Mus musculus: one gene and its partner. The protein of the gene in region 1 interacts with the protein of each later gene in a pairwise test. Links are inferred from orthologs where the notes say so. Each region holds a gene or a part of one and is shown on either strand. Other genes may lie near its edges.

What was found. The genes of interacting proteins can lie anywhere in the genome.
Region 2: the proteins of Numbl (region 1) and Spsb3 interact in binary tests that used the Homo sapiens proteins (3 or more experiments, as listed by UniProt). The two-hybrid records come from large-scale screens. The link is inferred for Mus musculus from reciprocal best matches to the Homo sapiens genes NUMBL and SPSB3.

The regions. Positions count from the first base shown.
Region 1 is NC_000073.6:27,272,243-27,275,762, forward strand, and holds part of Numbl (numb-like protein), read left to right. Parts: exon of another isoform or gene 1-169; intron 170-1,712; coding exon 1,713-1,902; intron 1,903-3,520. UniProt on the Homo sapiens protein: Plays a role in the process of neurogenesis. Required throughout embryonic neurogenesis to maintain neural progenitor cells, also called radial glial cells (RGCs), by allowing their daughter cells to choose progenitor over neuronal cell fate.
Region 2 is NC_000083.6:24,889,654-24,892,647, forward strand, and holds the end of Spsb3 (SPRY domain-containing SOCS box protein 3), read left to right. Parts: intron 1-629; coding exon 630-807; intron 808-914; coding exon 915-1,102; intron 1,103-1,179; coding exon 1,180-1,282; coding exon of another isoform or gene 1,283-1,357; coding exon 1,358-1,483; intron 1,484-1,651; coding exon of another isoform or gene 1,652-1,706; coding exon 1,707-2,050; 3' UTR 2,051-2,494; downstream 2,495-2,994. Other genes in the region: probable crossover junction endonuclease EME2, read right to left, coding at 2,860-2,994.

The DNA of each region.
Region 1 (3,520 bases):
CATTTGAAATGAGGACACTGAGTGCAGGGTCCGTCCACTAACACCCTCTTCTGATCAATAGCATCTACAGTTGCGACCAGCTTTCCAGGATGGGACCCAAAGGCCCATAGGCCGCTCGGTACCCTCCATGAAACACCTGAACGTCACGTTGGTGGGGCTCAGCAAGAAGCTGAGTTTTAAAGAGAGTCTCATGTAGCCCAGGCTGGCCTCAAATGCCCTACGTAGCTGAAGATAGCCTTGAACAAATGCTGGGCATAAAGCACCAGGTCCAGCAGATTTAGAAAATATTAATAATTAAGTTCTTAGAACTTCTTCAGCTTAATTTTTTAATTATTTAAAAAGCCAAACACATAAAATTAGCGCATTTTAATTGTACAGTGAGGCAGAGCATGGTTCAAGGTGGGAGACTTGGGACTATGCCTTTTATATATATATATATATATATATATATATATAGAGAGAGAGAGAGAGAGAGAGAGAGAGAGAGAGAGAAATATATAAATGTAGATATAGATAGATTTTATATGTGGATAGATTTTGGGTTTTGTTTTGTGTTTGCTTGTTGGTTTAGACAAGGTCTCTTTACATAGAACAGGTTGGCCTGAAACTCACAGAGATCCACCTATCTCTGGCTCCCAAGTGCTGGGATTAAAGGCATGCACCATGCCTGACAGTTTATTTTCAAGATTGGCACTGCCATTTTACCTCCTTCAGAATTCCATATGACAGGTAGATTTCTGGTGGTGCACACCTCTAGTCCCAGCACTTGGGAGTAGAAGAGTTGGATCTCTCTGAGTTCAAGGCCAGCCTGGTCTTCATAGTTCCAGGGCAGCAAAAGCTACACAAAGAAACTCTATCTCAAATAAAACAAACAGAATTCTATGTGAATTTCCATGGAATTTGGCCTTTCCATGGAAATTGGCCTTTCCTTTTCTACAAAGACAGCACTGGGTTTTGACAGAGATTTTACTAATTGCAAGTCACTCTGGGGAATGTTAGTGTCTTACACTAATTAAATCTTCTGGTCTAGGAACACAAGGTATCTTTCAGTAGTCAGTTTTTGGTTTCTTTTTAGCAGTGTTTTTCTTTTAAAGATTTATTTATTTTTATTATATATAAGTACACTGTAGCTGTCTTCAGACACTCCAGAAGAGGGCATCAGATCTCATTACGGATGGTTGTAAGCCACCATGTGGTTGCTGGGATTTGAACTCTGGACCTTCGGAAGAGCAGTCGGGTGCTTTTACCCACTGAGCCATCTCACCAGCCCCTTTAGCAGTGTTTTTTATTCCCAGAATAGGTACATTGTACCTATGTGGTTATATTTTGTGGTGTGTGTGTGTGTGTGTGTGTGTGTGTGTGTGTGTGTGTGTGTACAAATGCTTGTAGAAACTAAGGGTCAGCTAAGAGTCTTATCACTTTACACCTTAGTTTTGTTTTGTTTTGTTTTGTTTCTTTCTTCTTTTTCATTTTTTTGGTTTGGCTTTTGTTTTGTTTTGTTTTGTTTTGTTTGTTGAGACAAGGTCTCACTATGTAGCCCAGGCTCTTCTGGAACTAGCTCGGTAGACCAGGCTGGCCTCAAACTCAAAGAGATCCATGTGCCGCTGCCTTTAGGGAGTCCCCTTGCTGTAGACATCCAACCTGCAGGGGGCGCACATCTCTCCTCCGTTCATGTCCGGGCAACATTTCTAACCAGGCCACCTCTCCTGCAGGGTGAGAGGCTGAGCCATGCTGTGGGCTGCGCGTTCGCCGCCTGCCTGGAGAGGAAGCAGCGACGGGAGAAGGAATGCGGAGTCACCGCCGCCTTCGACGCCAGTCGCACCAGCTTTGCCCGTGAGGGCTCCTTCCGCCTGTCGGGGGGCGGGCGGCCTGCGGAGCGCGAGGCAGGGGACAAGAAGAAAGGTGGGTGCTGCGGGCCAACAGGGGGCGCACATGTGCATCTAGGGATCCCCGCTGAGGAGTGAGTGTTTAGGGCGCCAGTGGCCAGGGTTGGTAAGGTTTGCAGAGCAAATCTCAATATTCTTAGTATTCTACAGATGGGGGAGGGGGTGGAGGGTGGAGGGGACGCGACGCTTACCATAACACATTCTGTTGTCTAAGTCAGGAAGTCAGTGAAGCAGATGATGTGCTGTCCCAAACCCTTAACCCCAGCACTCAGAGGCAGAGGCAGGTGGAACTCTGTGAGTTCAAGGCCAGCCCGATCTACAGAGTGAGTTCCAGGACAGCCAGGCCTACCTAGTGAGACCCTGTCTCAAAAACAAACAAAAAATAGGTTCTTGTTGTAGCCTCTATCCCTTGGACCTAGGTTCGATTTTCAGCACACACATAATGGCTCACAAGTATCTCTATGTCCTGTTCCAGGGTATCCAATACCCTTTTCTGGCCTCCCAAGACACCACACACACATGGTGCACAGGCAAAACACCCACACATAAAATAAAAATAAAGATTAAATAACTTCCAAAAGGCATGAAGATTGTTGTCAGATGCCAGGATTGTTTACGATGGGAACTGTATGCAAAACGGTTCTGATTTCCAGGGACAGACCCAGCAGCGCTGGAGAAAGCCCTTCACCGTTCCCACAGGCAGAGGGGAGTTTACCATGAGGTCGGCCTGTCAGCCTTACTGACTCTCACACTCATTGTGCTACCAGCTGACTCCCAGCCAGTGACACCATCTTTCATGATTAGCGCACCTAGCCTGGCAGCAGAGGCTGGCGCACACACTGAACTCAGTTCTGCCTGCACTGATCTTTCAGGAAGCCCTGGGGGAGGTAGCCCAGGGACACCAGCCCAGAGAGGGCAGGGGACTTTTGAAGTAACACAGCACTGAGGTGGGAAAGAAGGTCATTTCCTGTTTCCAGCCTGTCCCAGGGTGCTGCCATGGCACCAGGCCAGGCCTGTTACCTCATGCTGGAAGATGGAATAGAAGCCCCCAGAGTAGCTGAGGTATCCCAGCTATCGCTGTGGTGAGGCTCTGGTTTGAAGGCAGGCAGTGTGTATTTGTGGGAGGGAAGGTAACCTGCCCTTGAAGAGCCTGCAGTTTGAAGTGTAGCGTCCCAAGGTTTTGCAGAGGGCAAGGAACAGTCCCAGGGTGGAGAGAACCCAGGCTGAGGGGTTAGAAGGAATTGGAAAGATTCGGAAAGGATAAAGTGAGCCAAGCCAAGTCTAGCGTCACTAGTCGCAGCTGGAGAAAGGCACAGAGAGGGAGACATCCTTGAGGGAGACAGAATAGCAGAGAATAGAAAAGGAGAAGCGGGGAAGCAGAAAAAGACAGATCAGACCACCGGGAAGGGCAGGTGGACTCCAGAGATGACGTCAGTCAGTCCTCTCAGCTTTCTTGTTGTTGTTGTTGTTTTTGAGAAACAAACGGTTTCTCATTACACATGGTTGTGAGCCACCATGTGGTTGCTGAGAACTCAGGACCTCCGGAAGAGCAGTTAGTGCTCTTAACCGCTGAGCCATCTCACCAGCCCCTCCTCTCAGCTTTCATACCTGTAAAATAGTGATAGTCTTGACCG
Region 2 (2,994 bases), on another chromosome or scaffold:
ACAGCAGGGCAGCTCAGGAAGTAGAGGCCAAAACTTCAGGGACTGTCAAGTCAGCTAGCCTGAACCCTAGCACCAAAACAGGGATCCAAGGGCCTGCAGAGCAGCTGAATAGCAAGAGTTGATTGGTCAGTCAGTGGCTGGAACTTGACCAGCTCAGCTGTGTCCTCACCCCCAGCTAGGTTCTGAGGCCTGAGAGCATCTTTGGAAGAGTTTGCTGCAGCTTGGAGCATTAGTCCATTAGACCTTGTGGAGCATGCTTGCTCCTCTTGATTCCAGTGCCCTTGCAGGGGATGGAGACACACATCCCATGTCTTAGCCTGAGTGGAGCCAGATGCTAGACCTTGTTGACAGCAGCAGCCCTGGGCTTTAGGAGACCATGAACTACCCAGGGAAGACAGGTAGTGGATGCTGTGTGGCCTATGGTAGTCAGACCTTCTGGGGGGAAATGGGGCAGAGGAAGCCAAGTAAGAAGCCATTCCCCTAGGGCCACCTCCCATCTCATTGGAGTCTTAGCACTCAGGTTGATTATGTTGAGCACTGGAGAGCGCCAGGTGTCTGGCTGCTTCTCTGGTGGATTTGAGAAGGGATTTGTCATAAACAGAGTGACCTACCCCTTCCCTCCCTTCCAGCACAGCGACTCCGACTCTGACCCTGAGTACTCCTCCCTGCCACCATCCATCCCCAGTGCTGTGCCTGTGACAGGAGAGTCCTTCTGTGACTGCGAGGGCCAGAATGAGGCTACCTTCTGCAACAGTCTGCACACAGCACACCGTGGCAAGGACTGCCGGTGTGGTGAGGAGGATGAGGGTACGTGTCTTGCCGCTGGGACGTGTGGAGGGCTGGGCAGGTTCCCTGGGACCAGGCAGGCACCGTTTAGCTGTAGCCCTCCCTAGTTTAGGCCCTCTGTCTTACAGATTTTGATTGGGTCTGGGATGACCTGAACAAGTCCTCAGCCACCTTGCTGAGCTGTGATAATCGCAAGGTCAGCTTTCACATGGAGTATAGCTGTGGCACTGCAGCCATTCGGGGCACCAAGGAGCTAGGGGATGGCCAACACTTCTGGGAAATCAAGATGACCTCTCCAGTGTATGGCACAGACATGGTAAATGGCCAAGCAAGAGGGTAGATGCCATGGGCCCTGCCGCTAGGCATCTAACTGTCCAGGCCCACTATTTACAGATGGTGGGCATTGGGACGTCGGATGTAGACCTGGACAAGTACCACCACACGTTCTGCAGCCTGCTGGGCAGGGATGAGGACAGCTGGGGGCTCTCCTACACTGGTAGGTGTTGCCTGGGTCATGGGTGGGGCTGGCAGTACAGCAGACCTCCCAGGATCACCCCATTGCTCCTCGCAGGGCTCCTCCACCACAAAGGTGACAAGACGAGCTTCTCTTCACGCTTTGGCCAGGGCTCCATTATTGGTGTGCACTTGGACACCTGGCATGGGACACTGACATTCTTCAAGAACAGGAAGTGCATAGGTGAGGTACCTTTGTAGAGCCTTTAGGGGTGGGGCCAGGCAGTCTGACTTGAGGCTCCTGACAGATGAGGGAGGGTGGGCAGGCCTGAAGCAGATTGGGGTTACCAGGCCAGACCAGAGTATTTTCTGTGTTCAGACTATTTGAGCTGCTTACCGTGGTGCCTTGTAGGAGGAGCTTCCTGGCTCCCAACCCACATGGCACTCAGGCTAAGCCTTCCTCCCAGGAGTGGCTGCTACTCGGCTTCAAAACAGAAGGTTCTACCCGATGGTTTGCTCCACGGCTGCCAAGAGCAGCATGAAAGTCATCCGCTCCTGCGCCAGCTCCACATCCCTGCAGTACCTGTGCTGCTACCGCTTGCGCCAACTGCGGCCAAATTCAGGGGACACCCTCGAGGGCCTGCCCTTGCCACCTGGCCTCAAGCAAGTGCTGCATAACAAGCTGGGCTGGGTTCTGAGCATGAACTGCAACCACTGGAAATCCCCTGTGCCCCCTCCTGGCACAGCTACACCTGGTGCCGAGAGTCTGGAGACCAGGCCCTGTCAGAGGAAGCGCTGCCGAAGAAGCTGACTTCTCCCCTGGGAACGCAGATACCTTCCTCTTTCTCGCCCTTCCAGGGCAGCAGGAGAGGGAAGAACTGAGGTCCAGGCTTTTCCCTATCTCCCTGAGGCCAGGACAGTCTTCTCCGGTGACCATGGAGTGAAGGTCATTCTACTGCCTGTGCTGGTAGGGAAGCCGTACTCCTATTTGTCCTTTGAGTTGCCACGTGTCTTGGGAACTGCAGCTAGGCACCTGTGAACCTAGATTCCAAGCCCGGGAGGCTGGCCGACGAAGGGGAGTGCATTCATATCCCGGGGAGAAGATGGGCTGTCCCCACCCACGGGGCCGTGGGGCTTTCCTGACTTGCACTGCATGTTGTCAGCTCCTGCTGCAGAGATGGCAGTGGGTGCCCTGTGAAGGGGTTTTGTCTTGTCCCTCTATGTTATATCATTAAAAGAGCCTTCACAAATGCCCAAGCTGCCTGTGTCTATTGTTTATCTGTCTCTGTCCAGCGGCTTTGAGAGAGCTTGGCTTGGATCTCTGAGCACCTCTCTCTGAGGATGTAATAGTACAACTCAGCACTCAGGCCTACTACTAAGCCTCCTGCACCAAGTGGCCACTACCCTCCACTCTTCCATTCACCTCAGCTTCCCTTACCCTCTCACCCACCTCCCATGGTATTTCCATTTGACCATCAGGCAACAGAGTCTATCTACCACAGTCTGAAAAGGTATGGGCTGGACCCAAACCTCCTTGCCTGCCTCTCAGAATAATTAGATTCTTAGGCAGACTTGTCCTGTTGTACTGATGGGCAGGAGGTGACCCCAGGATGGCACAGGTCAAGAGCTCAGGTCCAGCAGGAGGTCAGGGTTGGTGGTTGTCAAGAAGATACAGATTCTGCGTGAGAGGTCAGGCCCCACTCTGCGAGGCTGCTTGCCTTTGTGGGCCTTCACAGGGAGATCAGCTAGGAGGCT